Saccharomyces cerevisiae S288C: one gene and its partner. The protein of the gene in region 1 binds, or shares a complex with, the protein of each later gene. Each region holds a gene or a part of one and is shown on either strand. Other genes may lie near its edges. The genes, in order: RAT1 and RAI1. A codon is read from its position in the direction of its gene.

Region 1 (5,619 bases):
ATTTTCCTGCTTAGCTCAGTCGGATTTATTGAAAACTTTATTTCATTTTTCCACAACATCCCACATTACCCGATTGTTTGTTGCAAGATTTTTTGAAGAGGACGCTTGCATATTGGCCAAGGAGGAAGTGTAAGATGTGCTTTCGTGACTTGAGCGAAGGGGTTGGCGTTGTATAGCATGAACTTCCCAATATGTTGCATTCATCCCTGGATGATAACAGACCAAAGACCAAATTTGATTTTAAGTTTAGGAACTTAGAAAAAAAAGGTAGTGCCGTATTCGAAACTTTCGCCGTGGACTGCCTCTCTTTTCAAAAAAGAAGAACAGACCATGCTTTTTCTCCTGGATCTGGAAGAAAAAATACACGAAGCGTATAAATCAAAATAGAGTTCGGTCTATTGGCTTACAAGGATTTCGCTATTTTACAAGAGGACGTATATTCATATATTCATGCTTCAGCATGATTTTCTCTTAACTTAATATGTTCCATTTTTTGTTATAAAATATTACTGTTCGTCGTTTGTAAGAGCAGACACTATTATCTTAAAAGAGCTTTTTTTTAATTGTATGAAGATTTTATAAATTTGCGAAAACCTAAATTTACCATAAAATAAAATGCGCACGAGTAGTTCTAACGCCTATTTGCTCTTGAATTGTCATACCGACTTTGCTTGTTATTCCGAGAGTAGCTGTTGCCGCTGTACTGTCCACTATTTCTATTTCCGGAATAGTTATTGTTCCTGTAATTTGAATTTTGTCTGTAATTATTGTTTCCACCATCATACCTGCTATTGTTGAAGCCGGGTTGACTGTTGTAGCTATTCCTACCATAGTTGTGGGCGGGTTGGACATTATTTCTACTGAGCTCAGCAAAATAAAAGAATGCTCGATAGCCACCAGTTCTTGGTTTGTACTGAGTAATACCCTTTGGTCCTACTGGAACAATATTTTGCTTCAAATCATTACCAAAGTTCCAGCGACGGGAGTAATTTTGGTTATTATACTTGTACATTATGGAATCAAGGTCATATGCTGTTAGTACCGGTTCTGACGGAATGAACCCGTTCAGTATAATAGACTTATTTCTCGATGGCAACGGAATTAATCTATAGGACATCTTTAAAATCAAGGTGGTAGATAAATTTGGCAGTGACCCACCTTGAATCGGACATACAATTTTCCCATTTAATTCGAAACCTTCAACGTCCTTTGATACAATACCACTTAAACCACTCTTGAAGTGTTGAAACTTCACAACAACATTGTTGTTGTTGTTTTCCTTTGAGTATAATTTCTTCGAAAACCTCTCATAATTAGCATTCTTGTTACTTATTAATAAAACAGGTTCTCCGCGAATATTTCTTGCCCTCTCAGCATCAGAAAGTAAAGGATATTGTGCACGAACAGCTGTTAACAGTCTATCCTGATCGATGAATGGTAGCAACGCTATGCCTTGCCAGGACATCTTCTTACCATTCATATCTATGGGAAATTCTTCAGGATAAAAATCAATGATTTCAGAGTCAGGTTCAGACATCAAAGACCGGAAAATTTTTGGCAAAGCATGGCCAGATGCAGCTGGTAAAACACTCATCAATTGTTCGTAAGGTAAAAATGGAGTACCTTCTTCGAACTTTATCTCCAAGTGAGAAAACCCATGGAAATCTGTTGCCAGAGGAGCATAATGGTACGGATAGAACCAATTCCAAGAGGCACAACCTTGATAGTAATACATTAGTACCCAGGCGACCCCTTCGATATAGCATTTTACCATATCTTTTCTTAACTGTTCAATATCTTGAGGAGTAACGTGAAATTTAGCTGTGTAATATCTTTCGTGGTAACCAGGTTCGAATAGTTTGACAAATTCATCTGTATCAAAGACCCCATTTTTGGGACCTTCGCTGACATTCACTGTGCTGTGGACTGGTGAATCTCTTGATACTTCTGTAGTTTCAGAGTTTTCCCTGTCGTTTACGTCAGCCACAATCTCATCTTTGATCTCTGCATCGAGATCGCACTCTGATTCCGCTTTCTCTGTCTTAACTTTTTTGCTATCCTTAGCAATTTCTTCCTCTTCATTATCCTTTTCAAGACGGTGTTTCTTATTTATTATTTTCTGTTTCATAACTTCTGCAAGGTTAAAATTAGTTTTGTTAGCCTTACTAACAGCATCATCAATTTCTTCCTTGCTGATATCTTTCATCAGTTCATTGTTCTTATCACTCTGTTGCTTAACTTTGGCGATTGCTTCTTCGTTCCCCTCGTTCGCAAGCATCAGTTCCTTTTTCAACCTTACCATATCACTGGTGGTCAAGTTCCATGAACCTTTTGCTAAATTTCCTTGTGTGTCATACATTTGCAGTTGCTCCGTAGCTACTGTAGGATGCCTGTCTTGACCTTTTGACATATTTTTCTGCGCTTTCCTTCTTTCAAAAGCTTCTTTCTTTCTGGCTTCTTGAATATGTCTAGTTTTGAAGATATCCCCCTCACGGGAGCCAAGGTGTTGCAATAGCGTTTCAACAGAAGGGAGGTTCAAGACACCGTCGCAGGTCATGTACGTTTTCAATTTCGGTAGTACTACCTTCCAAATATCCAAGAGAATATCAATACTATTTTCTCTGACATCTAAGCATGGTAAATGTGGTAAAAAGTCATTACCACAGAAAAAGCACATGAAAACCCAATCGTCGATAGCCCTTTCTAAATCAAATGTAAATGGAAGACCCGGAACCCATAACTCAGCGGACAAGTATTCCCTCAAAACATTTATGTGCAGCCACAAGAAAGGTTGTTCGGAATTTTGTTTTTGGAGAAATTGTTTTTCTTCTTCAGTCATATTTATAGTATCTTTTAAGTTATTTCTTTTCCGATTGTCTTGAGCAAAAACATCTTCTCTTAGAATTTTAAAATGTGGTTCATGAGTGGCAAGGCCCAAAAAAATTAAATCAGCATCCAAACCGTATATACAGTGCGTTGTGTTGGGATTATATTCAGGATCAGCTCTTTGAGACCTAATGAAATTCATTATTTTGTGCTCACCTTCACCTGGGACGGTGGCGTCACTGATAATCACCTGCAGGTTTTTCCAACCAGGGTCAGTGGCCAGTTTAAATGCTGTCCAATAACGGAGGGCCGCGGCAAGCTTATCCATAAATGGGGTGCCTGGAGTGATCGCATTTGAATCCCAAGTTTTCTTGTTCCTGACGGCATCATCGATTATCTCACCAACTTCTTCTCGCTGTCTCATAATTTCTTCCCTGGCTTCGTTTTCAATCTGAGCATCCCTAGCACTCCTAAATCTACGCGCTCTCTGCTGGTTCATTTTGGCACGAGGAGCAACACCATCAACAGCCATAACAAGTACCTTGCGTGGTCTAGCCATATTTAACACACGATTGGTATATTCAAAAACTGCCAAAAGCATTTCATCTTCAGTCTCTGGAGGCGGTTTGTTTTCTGGGTGCGAACATGGATGAACAATACCATTCATATCCAAATACAAGTTGTCTAACTCACCGTTTGGATTTGAGGCGGAATAATCCAACGGCAATATGACACCGTCGACTATCTGAGGTTGCTCTTCCAATACTGGGGATATGATCTTTGGATATTTTCGAGATAGCCATCTGAAAAATGACGGAACACCCATTATATTACGAAACTTGGCTGTAGCACTTCCTTGAAGAACCTGTCTCACTAATTATTACGGGATGTCTTTATGTTGTAATAGGTTCATCGATGAGGTTTGGTTTTTTATTGCCATAGCTGAAAATCTTATCTAGATACTCTCGTTACCCGACTTATCATTCCCGAGACGCTCAAATATACAACCTGATGAGAAAGTAAGGTAATATACCTCCAAATGTTCAAGATTATAAAATACATTGCAGTGCCTTAAAAACGTACTTCCGATATTATGTGATAGTAAACTTTTCGTAGTTTTTCATCAGAGATGGGGAAAGCTTTTTTGGTGAATTGATTTTACAACTACTTGTTTCAGTATACTATAAAAATCGAGTAAAATTCGTGAATCTTTGAATAGAAAAGATTTCGTGAACATATCTATAAATTAATCACTTTCTTAACCGATATAAGATTTTAGCCCGGTGATATAGGCTTCAATCAGCAGTTACGCTTTTTTGCTTTAATTTTACTGTTTATGGAGGTAAACTAACGCTCCTGCTCTCTTTCATATATCAACAGATAGGTCTGTTGATTGATTCAAATAAATTTATTTTCCTTATGTGCGCCATAATTATATGACCCTATAAGCTGCCGATAGCGGATTTTCTGTTCTCTATGGGAAACTCTGTAGTTTTCTTTTTTTTAGTTTAGTTCGTTCCCAAAAATGGAAGAACGTCAAAACAGTGATCTACATTAAGCTGAGGCGAAAACACTAAACGAGGAAAGTTATACGATGGCACAGGAACAAAATAGAAAGTATGTATGACGTTGAAGGCTGATTAAAGCATTGAAAGGGGAAAAATACTTGTGAACTAAAAAATGTACATATTACGATGTCGAAATATAAGGAAGTAAAAATGCTGTCCGGTTCTTTTGAATAGGAGAAAAAATAAACAGAACATAGTCGGGAACTTCGAGAAAAAAAGTAAGAATTGAAAAATGCATATGAACGATCAGATTGACATTCAAATTCTACGTATCACTAAAGTTTAGCCTTCTTTTTAGAGGAAAACAAGTTAGCTATTTTGGACATGAATTGTTTGAAGGTGCTAATCGGGTATTTCATGCTTGCTTGGAATTCCTCCTTTTCAATATCAAATTGTTTTGAATCCGAAGTATCTAAGATATCTTCAACATCGTCAGTATGTGGTAAAGTTTCAGGATCAACATGGCCCGGTGTGATTGGAATCGAGGTGCTTCTACCTTTAAACGCAAATCCAGGGTGGAAGATGGTCAAAGTGACCGTAGCGATGGCCATCATTAATGCATCTAAGATAATAAAATACCACTCGTGTGTGATCAGATAGCCATCCCAACCGACAACTAATTCAGCCAAACGGTAACAACAACGGGTAAAAATGGTTAGTACCGCAACGGTTATTGCCAGATTAAAATAATGAAAAACCCAACGTTTAGGTTCGAGTCTCAAAAAATGGAACTTTTCCCTGTATAAATAATCAACTTCTGTTTGCGATATCTTTAAGAGGCTCAATGAGATAGGTCTAGAATTTATGTGTTCCCATCTTACCGATATATATATACGGAAAAGGAAGTGAAACCATAACATAAGAAAGATGGCCATCGATGCAACTTGAATGGCCAAACCAGCAATGAAAACATGATTGCCGGTTGTTGTGGACGTTCCATCTGTGACCGCCACACCACACAGGCCACCGCCTACAGCTTGCACCACAAGCGATACGATATCGGAACATATGAAAATAAAAGAATACGCCATTGGAGAGGGCAATAAAGAGAACCTGTGGCCGTATACTTCTATAAGCTTTGCAAGTTGATAATAAATACCACCCATTGTGAAAACTGGTGCAATAGTCAAACAAATCATGTTCAAAAGAAAAGCGTCCATATCGGCGACATTAGAATGCGACCACGTCCTCCCTATAAATCCAAGAACTTCCAAAATACCTGTGC
Region 2 (3,524 bases), on another chromosome or scaffold:
AGCGGAAAAATTCATTACCCGGGAGCAAGCAAAATACTAGTAGTAACTAATGAAACTTCTTTCCATTATTATTGATGAGTTAACTTATGTAGACTCATCTTTGAATCCCCTATCCCAACATAAGTCCCGGAATGGAACTCCGTAGTTTTTCTAGACAGCCTGATGGCATACTTGCTAACCCAAGATTGGGAAGGGAGGAAGTATTGGAAGGTGAACATCCGCAAGATGCTAGATTAGCCCGACAAAGCATTTGGTTGAGCCCAAGTTTAATTGCGGAGTATATACAGCTTTTTTTCAATTTTATTATAGGAACTATAGGACTGTCTCTTGCTATTAAATTCATTTTGATGATAAGAAACGATGTTAACTTAAAACTGGAGCATAACGTGAGGGAAGAATTAGATAAAATTGCAACTTGCAAATCAAGGTATTTTGAAAACCAGTGCGAACCTCATATGAGGGTTCCAGCATTGGAGGTACGTTGCAATGAATGGTCAAAATGTATGAACAAGGAAATAGTGTCTGGCTCCGATTACCAATGGGCTAAAGCATGGGCTCGTACTCTGGCGGAGGTAATAAATGCTTTTTTTGAAGCGTTCAGTATACGATCTTTCCTTTTCATTTTAATTAGCATAATAGGTATAATATTTGTTACCAATACGAGTTTCGGATCATACAGGGTTTATCTCAATAATAAAGATACAAAATCGGTTCGCCATGCATAGTGTATATAACTTAATCTAATCTGCACATTTATATTATTTAGATCCATACGTCGATGAGGATATGCGCAGGAAAGACATAAAGGAATATTGTTATTTCAAAGATTTTCTCCACTCCTTAAACCCGTTCGATAATATATGTTCTCCATCAATCAAACCTGAATATTCCTCATCACTTTCTTCAATTTCGGATAATCTTAGGTGATTATTTTCGAAAACCAACTTAAATGCTCTTATTTGAGAATGAGGATCCTCATCTCTTGGTATCATTTTCAAAAGCCACTCAGTAAGGAGACCATACCATTTAATGGCTTCTAAACATGCACTTCCAACTTGTGGATTATTGTTCTTTAATAAAACAGGTACTTCCTCCGTTGAAAACTCTTCCACAGTTTTTAATACATAATGGTCGTCTTTAAAACCATATATGATCCTTGGGATCCCAACTAAGAAGCATTGCAGCCAGGTCCGGAACAGTTTACGCTCAAACTTATGCGTATCCGATATGTTCGCAACTTGCTGCGTACATTTCAATTCGGCATAATGTTTTAAATTGTCTCTACCGTTTTCTTTAAAGTCAAATATACAATCCACCTCAGCACCAAGAATTAACTTGCAGTTACCTACACCAGTTCTCACAACACTAATGTATTCATCTCCATGCGATACAATCCTTTTAGTTCTTTTTTCTATCACTTCACGGGGTGTATACTGCAACGGATTGGAAAGAGTAGCCAAAGTTTCAAACTTGTACCCTGTAAATACATTCAGATCTTGATTTATATTACGCCCTGCTTCAGTTGCAGAGGAAGCCTTAGCTGCATTGACAGCTTCAGGCACTTCCTTGATAAAAAGTTGGCCGTTGAATGAAACGATACGAAGATCAACTGTATTAAAAGATGGAGAGTCAAATGCACATGAAATTAATTTCCGTGCTATTCCTCTAAAAGTAATTATATCAGCATTAATTTTTTTTCCTTTATGTCTTTCAGAGCTTTCTATGGTTTCTAATAGCCCACGCAGGGAACACCTGTCTTCAAAATCTTTGTAATAATCCTTAAATTTCTGAAATCCTGATGAAAGATCCAACTTCCTGTCCAATTCAGCGTCTGGAAGATAGTAGTAATTCAAATTCGTATCATCGCTAATTAAATATTCTTCATCCTTAGTTCTTGAATAGAATCCTATTTCCTTTGGCTGCTTCAGAGCTGTTGTCGACCCTCTTTGCTTTACGAACAAATTTGCACTAACACCCATTGGGATACACTATGTTGGTCTAATATTTCGCTATTCTTTCACCATATTACAGAAGTATTAGTAACATTACCAGACCTCATCTGTTCCTAATATTCTCGAAGTAAATTTTTCAATTTACCCGAATGCTTACTCTTTTTTTCTTCTTCGTTAAAAGCAAGATAAAGTGAAAAAAATGGAAGATAACTTCCATAAGAATGACGAAACTATTTTCAAAGGTTAAGGAAAGCATAGAAGGGATCAAGATGCCATCTACCTTGACTATTAATGGAAAAGCCCCAATTGTGGCTTATGCTGAACTAATTGCTGCTCGTATTGTGAATGCGTTAGCTCCTAACTCCATAGCTATTAAGTTGGTGGACGATAAGAAAGCACCTGCTGCCAAGCTCGATGATGCTACTGAAGATGTCTTCAACAAGATAACTAGCAAATTCGCCGCCATCTTCGATAATGGTGATAAAGAGCAAGTTGCTAAATGGGTTAATCTGGCCCAAAAGGAATTAGTTATCAAGAACTTTGCTAAATTATCACAATCATTGGAAACACTAGATTCTCAATTGAACCTAAGAACCTTTATTCTTGGCGGCTTGAAGTATTCTGCCGCTGATGTAGCATGTTGGGGTGCTTTAAGATCCAATGGTATGTGCGGTTCCATCATCAAGAACAAGGTTGATGTTAACGTTTCTCGTTGGTACACTTTGTTAGAAATGGATCCCATCTTCGGCGAAGCTCACGATTTCTTGAGCAAATCTTTACTAGAATTAAAGAAAAGTGCTAATGTGGGTAAGAAGAAGGAAACTCACAAGGCTAACTTTGAAATTGATTTGCCAGATGCCAAAATGGGTGAAGTCGTCACTCGTTTCCCACCTGAACCTTCTGGATACTTACATATTGGACATGCCAAAGCTGCCTTGTTGAACCAATATTTTGCTCAAGCTTACAAGGGTAAGTTGATTATTAGATTCGATGACACCAACCCATCGAAGGAAAAGGAAGAATTCCAAGACTCTATTTTGGAAGATTTGGATTTATTAGGAATCAAGGGTGATAGAATAACCTACTCATCTGACTACTTCCAAGAAATGTACGACTACTGTGTTCAAATGATCAAGGATGGTAAAGCTTACTGTGACGACACTCCAACTGAAAAGATGAGAGAAGAACGTATGGATGGTGTTGCTTCTGCCAGAAGAGATCGTTCTGTTGAAGAGAACTTAAGAATTTTTACCGAAGAAATGAAAAACGGTACTGAAGAAGGTTTGAAGAACTGTGTTCGTGCCAAGATCGATTACAAGGCTTTGAACAAGACTCTAAGAGATCCTGTCATTTACAGATGTAATCTAACCCCTCACCACAGAACCGGATCAACTTGGAAGATCTACCCAACTTATGATTTCTGTGTCCCAATTGTTGATGCTATTGAAGGTGTTACCCACGCTTTACGTACCATTGAATATAGAGACCGTAACGCTCAATATGATTGGATGTTACAAGCTTTGCGTTTGAGAAAAGTCCATATTTGGGATTTCGCTCGTATCAATTTCGTTA

What was found.
Region 2: the proteins of RAT1 (region 1) and RAI1 are in contact, whole or in part, in a cryo-EM structure (PDB 9FMS), measured with the Saccharomyces cerevisiae proteins. Residues at the interface, in NP_014691.1 of Saccharomyces cerevisiae: Arg216 (codon at 3,007), Ala217 (codon at 3,004), Asp218 (codon at 3,001), Pro219 (codon at 2,998), Glu220 (codon at 2,995), Thr313 (codon at 2,716), Phe314 (codon at 2,713), Asp315 (codon at 2,710), Arg318 (codon at 2,701), Cys368 (codon at 2,551), Asp369 (codon at 2,548), Phe805 (codon at 1,240), Pro854 (codon at 1,093), Ser855 (codon at 1,090), Lys858 (codon at 1,081), Ser859 (codon at 1,078), Ile860 (codon at 1,075), Ile861 (codon at 1,072), Leu862 (codon at 1,069), Asn863 (codon at 1,066), Ile911 (codon at 922), Thr912 (codon at 919), Gln913 (codon at 916), Tyr914 (codon at 913), Lys915 (codon at 910), Arg917 (codon at 904), Thr918 (codon at 901), Gly919 (codon at 898), Gly920 (codon at 895), Tyr921 (codon at 892); in NP_011268.1 of Saccharomyces cerevisiae: Tyr46 (codon at 1,844), Tyr47 (codon at 1,841), Leu48 (codon at 1,838), Pro49 (codon at 1,835), Asp50 (codon at 1,832), Leu53 (codon at 1,823), Asp54 (codon at 1,820), Arg55 (codon at 1,817), Leu181 (codon at 1,439), Gln182 (codon at 1,436), Tyr183 (codon at 1,433), Thr184 (codon at 1,430), Arg186 (codon at 1,424), Ile189 (codon at 1,415), Glu190 (codon at 1,412), Phe226 (codon at 1,304), Asp227 (codon at 1,301), Phe228 (codon at 1,298), Gln247 (codon at 1,241), Val248 (codon at 1,238), Ala249 (codon at 1,235), Asn250 (codon at 1,232), Ile251 (codon at 1,229), Thr254 (codon at 1,220), Phe257 (codon at 1,211), Glu258 (codon at 1,208), Phe280 (codon at 1,142), Lys288 (codon at 1,118), Thr289 (codon at 1,115), Val290 (codon at 1,112).

What each region holds. Positions count from the first base shown.
Region 1 is NC_001147.6:417,999-423,617, forward strand, and holds RAT1 (ssRNA exonuclease RAT1), read right to left. Parts: upstream 3,653-5,619; coding exon 632-3,652; downstream 1-631. Other genes in the region: phospholipid-translocating ATPase RSB1, read right to left, coding at 4,670-5,619. UniProt on the Saccharomyces cerevisiae protein: Possesses 5'->3' exoribonuclease activity. Required for the processing of nuclear mRNA, rRNA and small nucleolar RNA (snoRNA) precursors.
Region 2 is NC_001139.9:36,802-40,325, forward strand, and holds RAI1 (decapping nuclease), read right to left. Parts: upstream 1,980-3,524; coding exon 816-1,979; downstream 1-815. Other genes in the region: BRR6 (Brr6p), read left to right, coding at 132-725; glutamate--tRNA ligase GUS1, read left to right, coding at 2,222-3,524. UniProt on the Saccharomyces cerevisiae protein: Decapping enzyme for NAD-capped RNAs: specifically hydrolyzes the nicotinamide adenine dinucleotide (NAD) cap from a subset of RNAs by removing the entire NAD moiety from the 5'-end of an NAD-capped RNA.